Linked DNA regions of Alligator mississippiensis. The protein of the gene in region 2 interacts with the protein of the main gene of each other region in a biochemical or structural test. Links are inferred from orthologs where the notes say so. Each region holds a gene or a part of one and is shown on either strand. Other genes may lie near its edges.

The links.
Region 1: the proteins of UBE2M (region 2) and DCUN1D5 form a complex in vitro, tested with the Homo sapiens proteins (3 studies listed by BioGRID). The link is inferred for Alligator mississippiensis from reciprocal best matches to the Homo sapiens genes UBE2M and DCUN1D5.

The regions. Positions count from the first base shown.
Region 1 is NC_081824.1:441,125,948-441,133,732, reverse strand, and holds the start of DCUN1D5 (DCN1-like protein 5), read right to left. Parts: upstream 3,097-7,785; 5' UTR 2,990-3,096; coding exon 2,904-2,989; intron 1,609-2,903; coding exon 1,517-1,608; intron 1-1,516. UniProt on the Homo sapiens protein: Contributes to the neddylation of all cullins by transferring NEDD8 from N-terminally acetylated NEDD8-conjugating E2s enzyme to different cullin C-terminal domain-RBX complexes which is necessary for the activation of cullin-RING E3 ubiquitin ligases (CRLs).
Region 2 is NC_081828.1:75,598,576-75,606,172, reverse strand, and holds the start of UBE2M (NEDD8-conjugating enzyme Ubc12), read left to right. Parts: upstream 1-4,560; 5' UTR 4,561-5,023; coding exon 5,024-5,132; intron 5,133-7,597.

The DNA.
Region 1 (7,785 bases), on a different chromosome or scaffold from region 2:
GAGCAAGGTTAACACACTGGCATCCCAGCCCCAGGACTGTTCTGATCAGCCAGAGTATAAGATTTTGTACTGGAGCATTGACATGAGCTTTTGGGGGTTCAGAGGCCTGGTCCCACATGCCCCAGGAATGGGGATTTCCAGGGCATGCCAGAATCAGACCCCTGAAGCTCTGGGGGCACCTGCCTGGGGTGGCTGGAGAGTGAGAGCAGCTCCAGGCTGCCTGCACTCTCCTGCCTTAAAACAAACAGAGGTTGGCTTCAAAACAGTTGCATAAGATCATACATACCCATGTCACAGCCACAAACTTTGGGCATTTGTGGTGTGTGACAAGGGGTATGGAAGTCTGTCTGCTTGGCCTTTGTGCCACCATAAAAGATTTTATGGCGGCACTAAGGCAACATCCGTTTATACCCCAAGACTCCATATAATAAAAACTAAATGCCATTTGCATTTAGTTCATACAAAACCATTATTAACCACAAGCCCAAGTGACTGAAATCCTTTAGTTTCCTCACAAGAAAGCTGTGGCAGATAGAGAGTCCAAGCTAATATGCCTCAAACCTGATTTTGGAGGTATCACTGTTAGGGCTAAAAGGGTAGTTCTACTACTACTTCGTTTCTGGAAAAGCTGTCAATAGGAGTACTAACTAGTGTCAGTTTTGATGCAGATGCTTGATCCAATTTCTACCCAATAAAAATTACGAACTCATTGGAAATGGCTAGCAATGACATCCTGTCATCCAACTATTTATGATAGATTTTATCAAGCAGCCTAAAAAAGGAAGGCTCTGCAAATCATTAAACAATTAAATTGGGCCTTGGAAACTGTTAATGAACAGGAGACAAAAAGCCACCCTTCTCCCCATGAGTGTTTAATAAATTATGCAAAGGAGATACTTTTGTTAAGATGAACAATTAGTTACAAAACAGTTAAAGGAGAGCTTCTTTTAACATATTTGTAACAATCCTTTGGCGTTTGAGATGTTAGTTATATACAGATTTGCACAAAAATTAATAAGTATAAGCCAATATCAGTTTGCTGTAGTGTAAACAAGATAGGACAGAATTATTAACTATTTAATGGCTCCCCTAATTGTTTCATCTACTGCATAGTTTAATTTTGTTTAAACTGAATGCAATGAAACTGTACAGGGAACCATGTCCATACTACCCACCTGCACCAAAAAAAAAAAAATCAATAGGAAGGACACATATCTGAATCACCACTATACAGTGTAAGAGCAGTTGCCTATTACTGTAACTTTACTTAAGGTAACTGAAGTGTTGGTTAAGTGGGAAAGAAAGGACAAAGATGGAAAAGAAAGAGATACACAAGAAGCTGGGTAAACATAACTATTCAAGAAATATGAATCTGCATGCTTCCTGTGGTCTATGTATTCAGAAAAATATTAATGTGAAGAGGCATACATTTAGTTAAATTTGTTTAGTTAAATCAGCTTAACCATTCCCAGTAAACCATATTAACATTTAAACATGGCTGCTATTACATTCATACCTGCATATTCATAAAACCAGGCCAGGCACTTCTTGCTTGAAAAATGCTCCTCTCCACTTATCACTTTACCAGAGGCTTGTGATCTGCAATAGCTTATAGAAATATACAAAGATACCCAAGATGTTATATCTACTGTTCCTCATGTTTAAAAAGATTTTGTACAATGAATTTCAAGCTATTTATTATTAGGTCAAGCTAACATTAACAGCGTGCATCTTTATATCTACAGTTAGACATCGTATGTCATATGTGTGCGCCAAGTGTTATCAGTTTTACAGATACTGAACTGCAAGTGGCTTTCAGAAGCACTAAGCAGCACAAATCAAACTTAAATCAATGGGACCGATAGAGCTCAACAAGAAATTCAGGCTATTTATATTCAAATACTCCAGTTACACACACTTTTTCAATTTAAAGTCCACATCATTCACATTATCATTTCATTTAAAGAAGTCATAGGGTTTGTATATGTATGGAGAGAAGTAACAAACCATAACAAGCAACACTACAATGCAAGTACTAAGAGCCTGAACTCTCCTACAGCGTCACCGGGATGTGCACAGTTCCCTCTACCCTGGAGCTGACATCATGCTATTTTATAATAACAACTCTTGCAATTCAAACAGCAGCCAGGGGTAATTTAAAACTTGTCTTCATATCTCTACCCTAATACAAAACTATAGCACTTGTGATTTGAGTTTCAAGTGTTGAATTTAATCTTTTCAGCTTATGCTACACTGCCCCACCCCCTGCAAAAAAAAAAAAGGTGAAAAATGACAAAGGGGATTTGGAACCAGGTGACTGATTCATGATTCAATTTGAAAATGAGACGTGTCAAACTGAGAAAAGAAGAATCCCCGCGAGATGCTGCATGTACTGGTCTTCCAGTGCCTCATGTTAAAAATTCAGTAGGAAAAAAAGAAAAAAAAGAGAGACTATTCAACCAGTTGCAAGATGGTGCTTGGTGTGATGAGCTGCATGCACTGCAATAACATCTCCGTCCATTTAAGATTAAAAAAAAAAAAAAAGTAGTAACAAACGTGACCATAAAACGAATCTCGTGGGGTTTCGGACACCGACCCTAGGGCAGCACCTGAGAGCTGCTTCTTGCAAGCCTTTGGACATGTCAAAAATGAAACCAACCCCCCCCCTTTCATCTTGGTCCCCCGGGACGGCTCTACCCGGCTCCTGGCCTCCCCAGTCCCCCGCTCGCCCCCTGCAAGAGCCCTTCCGAGGCTTCTTAAGAGCCGAAGCACCGGGACGATGCTCCGCGGAGGCCCCGCAGCTCCGTGGCGGCGCTGGGGGCACGGCCCTGAGGGGCCACGACACGCCCCCTGGCCCGCAGCACGAGCCCGAGCGGCCCCTGGCCCACCCCCGCCCCCGGTACCTGCCGAGCTTGCACTTCTTGAGGCCGGTCTCGTCCGCCGCTGCCGCCGCTGCCGCCGCCGACTTTCTCTTCTTCTTCACCGGCATCGCCGCGCCCCGCCCCGCCCCGCCCCGCCCCTCACAGCCCGGCCGGCGGCAGCCGCGCGCCGCACACGAGCGGGCAGCGGGGACCCGGCGGCGGCTCCAGGGAACGGCAGTGCGACCCGGACGCGAACCCCCGAGCAGGAAGTGACAGCGCGCGGGGGCGGGGCCAGCGGGGAGCCCGCCTTGGGGGGCGGGACCAGCAGTGGGAGAGGGTTCGGCGAGCTCCGCCTCCTTGCCGGAGGCCCCGCCCCCTCTCCATGCTATTAAACCGGTTGCCAAATCTTAGAATAAATGGAATTGAGGTTTGTCTTCTTGAAAAGGTGCTTTAGTTGCTGGAGAGCGGTGGCTGAGGAGCGACCCCCCCCACTCCCCTCTCTTTGAAATGGGTTGGGCTTCTTCTTAAAGGCAGTGCTGCTGTTTGTTTTTTTTTCTCTCCTTCCCGGACTTGGCAGTGCTGCTCCTAAGCCGCCTGGCCTTGTCCCTGTGCTGGGAGCCGGGGCCAGGCCCGGCATGGTGGCCGGTTCCGGCCTCTGTGCAGACCACGGAGATCCTGGGGAGGGGCCAGGGGACGCCTTGAGGCCCGGGAGTCCCTGATGCTCCAGCTGTTGCCGCCCAGGACAGAGGCGCGTCGCAGCACCCTGCCCTGTCCTGCAGGCGAGCAGCGTCTCTTGGTGGCCTAGACAGCTGCATGCAGTGCCTGGAGGTGGGCAGTCAGGTTCACCGAGTACCGGAGGAGCGATGGCGAAGCTACGCAGGCCTGCAGGAAGTGGTGGTGTTAAACCTCCTTGCGTCCTCTTGGGGCAGCCCACTGGAGCAAAGCCATGGCATGGACAGGCTCGATGCTTGGACTGTCTTGCAGGTGGTTTAATATGCCAGCAAGCAGACACACCTGCCAGGATGGTTTAGGATGGAGCACTTCAATTCTTATGAATCTGGCCTGCGATGAATTGACTTTATGGGAACTGTGAGCTTTCCATAACTGGTGTCTGTTTAGTCCTCCAGGCATCCCAGTCTGCACTGCTCCTCAACCCTAGCCTAACCCCTGTAGGGCAAAAGAACTACTGCCCAAACATTCATTGCTTGCGCTGGCTAAGGCATGCACCCTTACTCCAGGGTTGCCCCATAGGTTGGGTAAAATCAGCTTTAGGATTCCACTTGGAAAGCTGCTTAGCTAAGTGGCTTGCAGTGGACCCCCCCCTTAGCAGGATCTCAGGTTCATTGGGGGTGAGGGTGGGGGGGTCATAAGGTGCTGGGGGGTTATCTGGATCCCTGCTTATTGATCCTGGGGAACTGGGTGCTGTGGGGGTACCCCAAGGGCTTGCTTTAAGAAGACTTTCCCTGGAAAGCCACTTAGTTCATTTCAGTTGCCTGCCATGAACCCCACTTGGCAGGCTTATTTGGGGTGGAGGTATCACTGTGTATTGGTGGCCTGTCCGGACCCCTGCTTCTGTTTCCTGGGTGGCAGCTGCTTTGGGACCGACTCCACAACTGGTTGCCCCCAGTTTCGGTACCACCACACAGGGCTCAGTAATCTGCAAGCAATTGGTCTTCATGGAACTCCTGTGTAGGTGAGAAGGGGAAGCAGAAAATTGCAAATATACCCAGCCCCAGGTTACCAACCCCTACTCATTCCCTTCATGGGTCTGAAGTCTGTGGGATTGGAATAGCTAAGGCTTCTTGCACCAGCACATTCGAGCATTTCCTGACTCCCTGGGTGCTCCAGAGCTGTGGCAACCTGGTGATGTGCCGGCTCCCATGCATCCTCAGCCCAGGCTTCATGGAAAATTTTTCCTTTGGTTTCATAAATGTTATGAAGGATGCAGGTAGAGGTGACAGCACTGGGTTACATCCAAGTGGACTCCTAATGTTTGCCAGTGGTCCCTGAGGCACACACAGACATACCCCACACCTATGCAGCAGCTGCTGAGAAAGTAGGTAAAGAAGGTGTAAGGCTTCATGAGCCTGGGGTGGAGCAGGTATGCTGGGTCTTCAGTTAGCAGTGGGGGTGGTCACTCCTCACCTCAATGCTTGGAATCTCAGGGACTGGAAATCTCAGGGGCAAACTTCCCCCTCTCCATGAGCTCAGGGAGTCCAGAGTTGTAGAATACCCTGGCATCATGACCCTTGCTCAATCCCTTCCCCCCCTTTCCCCCACTGCCGCAGCATTCATGTGTATGAAACTCTCCTGGAGGTCTATGGTTACCTGCAGCACCACAGAGAAGACACCCTTGCAGCTGGTTTAGTCACTGGCTCGGTGTCCATGGACAAGTTAGTGATATCGATGCCAAAAACGGTAATGGGGTTGGGAAAGTCCTTACAGCCACCTGTGGGTTGGCAAGGTGGATGAATTGTGGTCCTAGTACATCCTTGAATACCAAGCCCACCTCCTGAACTGCATTTTCCCCCACTGTAGATTTCTGAATGCTCAAGTAGTTCCCTACAGTGTCAGGTGTAGCAAACTTCCACACAGCGATGGCAATGTGCTTCTCCATGGTCAAGGGTCTCCCATATCCTGGTATTTTACTACTGTAGGCTGGGGGGTCAACTCAATGCAAATCTCCATAAAGATTGCCCAGGTCATACAGAAGTTCATGTGCCACAGCTTGTCATCCTAGGTGGCCAGGACAATGTGCTCCCATCAGTCACTGCTCATCTGCCTGGACCAGTAGCACTACTGCACCAGCTAGAGTGGCCCCCACAGCATAGCAGGTTGCATCCATAGGTGGTGTAAGGGGGGGGGGCTAACGAGGTTCAGCCCCCCACAAACACCAGGGCAGCCCAGCCACAGGCTGCTGGAGCAGGGGGGAGAAGCATGCCAGGATCAGTCAACCCAGCACAGCATGCCTGTACATTTCTTTTGACTGCCTGGGCTTGGGGGAGGCAGCTTAAAACCCCCACAGTGTAGGAGGGAGTGGAGTAAGGGCAGGGGCAAATCATTCACCCCTGCCCCGCTCTCTGCTGCACTGTGGGGATTGTCCCATGACCTGGCCCAGCTGGGTCCCCATTCACGGGGAATGGGGCCCCAGCTGGGCTGGGCTGTGGGGCAACAGGAGCCCAGCGGCTTGTATAGGGGTGTGGGAGGGTGGCTCCTGCCACTGAATTCACTGCAGGGCTCCCCTGTGCCACACCCCAGGATGAGCTGCTGGGCTCTGATTGCCCTACAACTTGCCCAGATGGATCCCCATTCACGGTGAATGGGGCCCTGGCTGGGTTGTGGGACAATTGGAGCCCGGCGGCTCCTTCAGAGCCATGGCACAGGATAGCTAAGGTGGTGGGGGGGCAGCCATGGCCCTGATCTTTGCACGGGGCCAAGGGCGGGCTGCAGCTGCGCTCTGCCTGCTCCCTGCCTCCATACCTCGCTGCAGCCTTTGAAAGCGGCACCATGTGCCTCGCTGCCTGGCCTGCACAGGAGTGGGACGCACATGGTGCTGTGCCGCTTTCAAAGGCTGCAGTGAGGTGCAGAGGTGGGGAGCAGGCAGAGCGCAGCTGTAGCCCACCCTTGCCCTGTGCAAAGATTGGGGGCCTGGTGCCATGGCTCTGGAGGAGTCACTGGACTCTTCCCAGGGCAGGTGTGGGTGTCCTGGGGGCTCTGTCCCCTCTGATCTGGCAGCGCAGTCAAGGCTGGCCTCACTTGAGCCTCTGGGAACTTCATAAGATTGGGCCCCTAATGTAGTCCATTACCTGTTGTGACTGGGGCTGGTGTGGAGAAACGGCTGCATGGGTGCAGTAGGCCCCGGCCCCAATCTCTGTCCAGTCCCAGCCCCAGCCCCAGCTTTGCTTCTTGCCCCCCCTTCCCCCACAAACTTTTGCGGGGGGGTACACATGCTTGCACACACTCAGCACCCCCTCCCTCCAATTTTTTTTCTATCTCTGCCTATGGTTGTATCTTATTCCATATACTGTTGTTCTCCTCAACTTTGAGGGCCACTATGAGGTAGAAAAGCCAGTGCATTCACATTTCCAAATTGTTGGAGTTTCTGAGTTGTGCTTCCAGGGAATCTTGAGTGCTGTTGGCTCCAGATGTGGTGACAAGTGTGCGTAGAGTGCTGTGGACAAGACGGATTCTCTCCCAGGACCTCTGCTCATGTGACTTCATCTGCTCAAGCAGCGCTCTCAGTGCATGCACAGTGGCAGCCTGCCAAGGATCTTGATGAAAGGAAACGGATTGGGCATTCCAGTGTCCCAGGTTTAATGTGGGGCGCTGCCACCACCCACCCTGAGCACAGCCCTGGCCCAGCACCCCCCCCCCCGCCCCCCCGCCGAGAAGAGCTTGGTGCTGACCTGGTCTCTTGCCCCGCACACTGATCTGGGGGATATGTGCCTCCCATGCCTGCCCTGGGGTGTGCACAGCGGAGGGAGCTGCTCCCCCCCTCCCCCCCGCCCTAGCTGCTTACAGCTCCATCCCCCGCCCAGTCCCTGTCCCAGCCCTACTCCCTCCCTCACTGCAGGGGCCTTGATCTGCAACCCACTGCACACCTCTTCCCTCTCCCTGCCCCTTTCCCCCAACAGACTTACCAGCTGGACACTGCTGTCTAAGATGTTGGGCTGCATATTAGTGATGGGATTGGTATCGGCTGATATGGCTCATTAATAATTGGCCGTTAGTATCAGCCCAAAAAATCTGTATCACTGCACCCTTAGTTATACACCTTTATAGACTAAGTAAGAAACATATATAGAGAGAGTGCACAACTTCCCTGAACCCAGATTCTAGGATGGATTTGATTGAAATCAAATCAAATCAATTAAAATCACTAGGCAGGAAGCCTCGGTTTAATCACTGTTTTCTACAAAAGCTG
Region 2 (7,597 bases):
TCTAGAAATATCATATATACCATCACTTGCCTACAGAAGCCCTCTGCTGTCTACATTAAACATATGAGCAATCCGTGTGTAAGCCTGAACGAACATCAAACAGACATCAGCTGCAGATAGGCACAAAGGCCACTGGGCAGAACACGTAAAAACTTCTCTGGACAATCCATTGCTGACCTCAGGGTAGCTGTTCTTAGGCAGCAAACCTTTAAAATCCAACTTGAAAACCTTTAAAATCCAACACAGACTAGACTGTGTTATGCTCTAAACAGGGATTAAGAATTCTTATCCCATTTAAATTAGTTTTTGTGATTACTTTGTTCCTATGGGTTCTTTTTTTTGCCTCTTCCAGCACTGACCCTCTCTAACTTTCTTTTGTATTCAAATCTCTTTCCATTCTATACACAGCTCTGTGGCACATCATTTCAAAGCATCTCATGAAATGAGCTCTAGCTCATAAAAACTTATACTCTTTCTCTAATTTAGTTAGACTATAAAGTGCAAATCTCTCTTGCCTTCTACCTGAAGATATATTTAATGTGCAAACGGAATAAAGTCCAAACAACAACAAAAAAGATATACTTGGATGTTTAAAAGGGTCAGTTTCACAAAACTGAAAACAACTGTGAACTAAATCAGCTGGGAAAAATGTATTGAAAAATAATATATGAATAATACTTGGGAAAGTTTAAGCCCTGAAAAATCACAGTCCTACAACTGAGAGAGGTGACTGTGGTTTAAAACCAACCTAGCTTACAAAAGAAATGAAAGCAGGTATAAAAAGAAGTAAGAAATAATGAATGGAAAATAGAAGAAAGACAGATCAACAAATATAAATCAGAAGCTAGGGGCTAGATCCATCTATTTGGATGCCTAAGCATGATCCTATTCCATCCTGCTTGAATCCCTGAAAAATAAGTAATGCAAAAGACAGATGGATCCTCCTATTGCTCACTGCTTTTTTGGGATTTAATTTTCAGGCTAGGATAACAACACATTCCAAGCATATTCACATTATCATTTTTTTCAGGCGCTTGAGAAGCCTGCAATAGGATCAAGCTCTTAAGCACTGAATAGACAGAATGGGATCCAGTCCAAAAATTCTAGAAAATCAATAAGGAAATCAAAACAGCACAAAGAGAAATTGATGGCCAACAGATTTAAAGACAATCGGAATAAATTCTAATAAGGGTGGCCAATCCCAACAGCCGATTATTAACCAGGTACATCAGGTACAGATCCAATTGCTGATATGCAGCCTAGCAGCTTGGAGAGCAGCATCTGGCTGGTAAGTCTGTTGGGGAGGGAAGGGGCATGGTGGGGCAGATCAAGGCCCCCTACGGTGAGGGAGAGAGCAGGGTTGGGGCTGGGACAGGGGCAGGCGCTGCCCAGCCGAGGCAGAATGCATGGCGGAGCCATGGGCTGCTTGTCCGGGGGGCGTGAGGGGGAAGGAGAGCAGTTCCTGATGCTGCGTTCACCCCCAGGGGAGTCATGTAGGGCATGTGCTTGGGGTGGGCAGGGATGGTGCTGGGAGGCAGATTTACAGGGGAGGTTGCAGCCACCCCAAAATTTGCCATGACCTGCCTTGAGCGTAGCCCCAGCCCCCCTCTGCCCCCTGCCAGTAAGAGGCTATCACAGCCCCTGGCCCCAAGCCCACAGCAGGCAGCCTGCCCTCATCCTGCACACAAATCTGGGGGGCACATGCCTCCCACGCCTTCCCCATGGGCGCACACATTGGTAAGGATCCACCCCTTGGCCCCTCACGCCCGCTGGGGCTGTCTCACACCCTGTCCCAGCTAGGCAGTGCCTGCCCACAACTTAGCCCCAGCCCCCACTCCCTTGCTCAATGTGGGAGCCTTGATCTGTCCCCCCCACACCCCTCCCCTCCCCCACATAACTCCCCCCAACAGACTTACCAGCTAGACACTGGTATCCAAGCTGCCGGGGTGCATCCCTGACTGCGTGTATGCTACAGCCACGCACAAGCACGCGACTTTTATCGGTGAAATTATCAGCAGTCGGCTTTTTGTAGTCAATAATGTCAATTTTCCTTTTATCAATGTCAATATGAGATGGACTGATATATTGGTGCACCTCTAAATTTTAAAACTAAATGCACAATGAAAAGATGCTTAAAAAACTAACTGCCCACTACTAGATGGAAATAGTAGAACTGTGAATAACACAGAAAAGAACAAAAAAGATATTTCTTGTCTAGATGGGAAAGAAAGCCAACATGGTATGAATACACCATCTACGATAAAGAAAATCTTTCCATTCCAATAGTCAGAGATGATCCAAGCAGGGTGCAGGGCCCCAACCCCGGATGCAAGGAAGCCAGCAGCAGATTGAGCGGCAAATGGGTGGGGGTGCCAAGTGGCCAGACATGTAGACGGCGGCAGCACGGAGTCACCACGGTCGCCCCACCTGGCTCCATGGGGACCCCAAAGCATAAGGCCCAGGGCAGTCACCCCGATTCACCCGCCCCCCTGGGACGGCCCTGCCATAATAACTCAGGAGAACATGAAATAGTAGCTACTAAATATTTAAATCAACAGTTCTGGATAACCTGCATCTATCCAAGAATCATAAACGGTGAAGAATTCTATTAACATTGATTTTCAAAAAATTCCACAGGACTGGAAAAAACTAATGCTCATATATTCAATACAAGTAAACAGGATGACCCACATACTGCATGCCTGACATCAACCTGCACAGCAAAGGAATGCTGATACACAACTTGATTACTAAAGGACTGAGGGAGGGTAATATGGTTCTGACATTTGTCATCCTTCCCTTCCACTCCCTAACTGCCACAGCAGTGCCTGGCACTGACATCCTGAAAACTGCCCTCCATGCTTCAGTCACGAAAGCCTCATAGACCCCTACATTACTTTTGCTCCTCTGGAGCTACAGAAACTTGTAATTTTGACTCTTGTTATTCCGCTACCTCTCACTCCCCTGCTGCTACAGGATCTTCAGGATTCCACATCCTGGGCAGTTGCTTTCCACCCTCCTGTTCCAGCACCACCATGCAACTGTCTGGCCCTAACAGCCAGACCTTTTCTGCATACAACCCAAGGACCACAGGACTGTCTCACCACAGCATTCCAGCAAGTCCCCTCTGGGCCTTCCCAGCCCTGGCTGCTGCAAAATTCAGACTCCTGCCCAATTCCCCCACAGCTTTCCTCATCTGCCAGGACACCAGAGAGCCCTCACCCCATCCTCTGCCTCAGAAACTTCCAGACCTAAAATCCCAACCATCACCAACTTCCCTTCCACAGCCCAACAATGTGGAACCTTGGCAGCCATAAAACCAGAGCGCTGCCCTCATCCCTCCCAACCCCAACATGGCCTGCCAACCCACTCCCCACCAGGCAGGAACCTCCTGGCTCTGACAACGGCCCTCTGCCCAGCAACTGACACAGAACCTCCTGCCCCGATGCCCAACAGCTGCCCCGGCCCTCCCTGCCAAATGCCGCAGAACCTTCCGGCCCTGACGCTCAACAGCTACCCCGGCCCTCCCTGCCAACTGCCATGGAACCTTCCGGCCCCAACGCTCAACAGCTGCCCCGGCCCTCCCTGCCAAATGCCACGGAACCTTCCGGCCCCGACACCCGACAGCTGCCCCGGCCCTCCCTGCCAACTGCCGCGGAACCTTCCAGCCCTGATGCTCAACAGCTGCCCCGGCCCTCCCTGCCAACTGCCGTGGAACCTTCCAGCCCCAACGCTCAACAGCTGCCCTGGCCCTCCCTGCCAACTGCTGCGGAACCTTCCGGCCCCGATGCCTGACAGCTGCCCCGGCCCTCCCTGCCAACTGCCGCGGAACCTTCCAGCCCTGACGCTCAACAGCTGCCCCGGCCCTCCCTGCCAACTGCCGTGGAACCTTCCAGCCCTTACGCTCAACAGCTGCCCCAGCCCTCCCTGCCAACTGGTGCAGAACCTTCCAGCCCCGATGCCTGACAGCTGCCTCGGCCCTCCCTGCCAACTGCCGTGGAACCTTTCGGCCCTGACGCCCGACAGCTCCCACCCACTCCTTGCCGGCTGCAGTACACCCCGATGGCCATGCTGTCCAGACAGCCATTCCTGCCCATGCCGCCCAACTCTTGGGCACCCCACAGGTGTTGGCACGCAACTTTTTTTTCTTTCTTTTTTTAAGGATTTTTTTTCGTGTTCTAAGCCAAATCAGTTCCAAACCCGTGAGTCATTCAAGGGCCAAATGTGACCCTAATTGTTGGCATAAGGTTGCGCTGTCCTCGCCTGTGACCCACGCACACAACCCCTCCCCGCCCGGAAAACGCCGACACCTTTCTAAAGGCTGTGAAGGGAGGGGGACGCAGCATCACCGGCTGCACGTGCTCACGTCGCGCCCGCCCGCTGCCCCGGAACAGAAATGGCGCGCCCTCAATAAAGATGGCGACCGGGTGAAGGTCGCTTCCCCCTGGATCCCTTCCGCCCGTAGTCGGAGCCCAGCAGCGGCCGGAAACAGCTGAGCGCCGGGCCTATTAGAGCGCGGCTCTCCGTCCCCGCCGGGTACTCGTCACCCGCAGAGAGACGAGCCTTGGCGGAAACAGCCGAGCGGCGCCCGGGAGAAGCCGAGCCCGGGGTGGGCGGTGCCAGGCGCGGGGCGGAAAGTGCCGGGCTTGGGCCGGGGCGCGCCGAGTGGCGAGCGGAAAGTGGCGAGCGGGCTCGGAAACAGGCGAAGCGGAGGCGGAAAGAGCCGAGGCCGGGGCGGAAAGAGCCGAAGCGGTGGCGGAAAGAGCCGAGGGGGCCGGCCGTTGCCGACACACCGCAGCGGCAGCAGCCTGGGCGGCCCCGGCCCCGGCAGCGAGCGAGAGCCCGGCCCCAACCCCGAGCCCGAGCCCGGCCCGGCGCCGGGACCCACCCGCCTGGTCCCTCCCTGCCCCGCCGGCCCGGAGCAGGCGGCTGCGGCGCGGCCCCCGCCCCGCCCTCCCGGCCCGGCGCCCCGGGCCCCCCTGCCCCCGCGGCCCGGCCCGGCGCGGCCCCGCGGCCCGGCAGGATGATCAAGCTGTTCTCGCTGAAGCAGCAGAAGAAGGAGGAGGAGTCGGCCGGAGGCACCAAGGGCAGCAGCAAGAAGGCGTCTGCCGCGCAGCTCCGCATCCAGAAAGGTGCCGGGGCCGGGCCGGGGTGTCTGCCCGCCACGGGCCCAGCTCCCACTCGCGCTCCCAGGGCAGGCCCGGCCTGGTCCGGCCCCGGGGGCTGGTGCCGGTCCTGCCCACGTGGGGCGGCCTGGCTGGGGCAGCAGTCCCCACCCCCTCCCCGGAAGGTACCGCCGGGCCCCGCGCGGGGATTACCCCCCACCGCCCGGGCTGCCTGACATCCACGCTTGCCTTCCTGGCCTGGGCCGCGGGTTAGACCTCGCCCGCCTTGCCCCGGACAGTGCGGGATTCCTGTTCTCCTGCCTGCTGCGGGCCCTTCCCTGGGAAGGGATGGGGGGAACCAGGGGTTGCCGCCCACCTGCCTCATGCTGGGAGCCACCTTTGGACTGTACCCCCTGTAAAGGGCTTCTCCCAGTGGGGCCCAGCTCTCCTCCCAGGTGTGTTGAGTAGCCCTCAGCGCCATGCTTGTGGGGCATGGGGCTGAGAGGGCCATCCTGGCCCATTGGGACCAGTTCCCTGCAGTTCCAGGCAAAGCCAAGAATTCCTCAGTGTCACTGCTTCAAAACCTGACACAATTGCAGGGTATGACACCAGAGACACCATTCAGCCTGCCGATGGTGAAAGCAGGGGAGATGAGTGATAGGCATAACTTGTTAACATTTGTTCAAAATATCCTTGGAGAAGGATGCTACCTTCTCACAGTCCATGCTAATCTGCCTAAGGAGAACTGTTCCTTCATGACCCCAAATTTGGCAATTGAACCGATTTTTCTGACTGGAAGAGGAAGATCCTCCAGTCAAAAACGTCCTGGCTTTCTGAGTACTGGCAGAGATGTAAGCACATCAATCAAATACCCCCAGCCTTAGCTTTCATTTGTGGAACCTCATGTTGAGCCCCACTGGCCATCTTCTCTCTTCCTGCTCTCCCTGCTTTCCTCTCCAGTGTGCCCCTTGGATTATGCACCTGCTGGGCACCCATGTTACAGCTGGGGTCTGCCTTAACACGGGACCTGGATCTGCCCCATGCTGCCATGTTGGCCATTGCTACTACCTTGGCACATCTTGTGATTTAAGAGCTGAGAAGCCTCTGTTATGCGACCCCTAAGAGCCCTCTGGTGATATGCCGTGCAGCACAGCTCCTTGCACCTTTCTTCATAGCAATATTAGAGGTCACCCAGAGAGCTACCATTTGCCCCCACTTCTGCAGTGTAGACAGGACAGCAAGAATCCTGGGTAGTGCTTTGTTCATGGTCCTGGACCCCAGAAAAGCTATTAAACTCCCATGGTTCAGGGGTTTGTTCCTGGGTGTCAAGATCTATTCCCCACCATCGGAAAGGTTGGTACTGAGACTGGAAGCCCTGGTGCCCTTTCTATGTTGATCTTTGTCCTTGGTTCTGTTCCTTCTTCTGCGCTAATCACAAGCTGGATTGATTCCTTCTTGCATCTCCAGTAGTTTTGTGGCAGTCGATAAACCCAGGGCTTGCATGGTTCTTGGTAATGAAGGCCAGAATCTTGGTGACAGGGTTTAAATATGACCTCTCCCCTCTTCCAAAATGCCCCATCAAGGACCTAGTGAAACAGAAAAGTCTAGCAGTGTCAGTCTTGTCTGTAGTTTCTGATTAGCCCTGAAGCTTCCCTGATATGTTGGTCTTCCCTGAAACATCCTGTACAGAGGACCAGGCCTAGTCCCATATGGGTCCTTTTTTTTTTTTTTTGGGGGGGGGGGGGAAGCAGTGAAATGGGGCTGGTTCTTATTAGTTTTAGGGTATGGTTGATGCAGAGGGTTGGGGTATCCTTCAGGAGGCGAAGAAGAATGGAGAACATAGGTTCTCCATCCTGGATGTTTGACCACTGGGGTAAACCTTCTTCAGTCTCTGGCCACTAGTTAGTGGCGTAAAGAACAAAACTGCTTCTTAGCACCTAGAGGTGGGATGACAGGCCTTCATTTAATAGGCTGCTGGGAAGAGATTACAGAGACTAGGTGGGATAGCTCGCATGATGAGCACTGTCATGGATGGGTTCAGGAAGGACAGGCAGGGGAGAACAGGAGGAAGAAGACTTGCACTTTATGTAAAAGAGCCATATGATTGCTCAGAGCTCCAGTATGAAACTGGAGATAAGCCTGTTGAAAGTTCTGGGTTAGGGTCAGCGGAGAGTGCAACAAGGATGATGTCATGCTGGGGGTCTGCGATAGGCCACCAGACCCGGAGGAAATGGTGGATGAGGCTTTCTTCAAACAACTAGTGGAAGTTTTCTGATCACAGGCCTTGGTTCTCATGGCGGATTTCAATCACCCTGATATCTGCTAGGAGGATAATATAGCAGTATGTAGGCAATCCAAGAAGTTTTTGGAGAGTCCTGGGGACAACTTCTTGGTGTAAAAGCTGGAGCAGCCAACTAGGTGCTGTGCTTTTGTTGGTCTGCTGCTCACAAACAGGGCAGAACTGGTGGGGAATGTAGTAGTAGATAGCAATT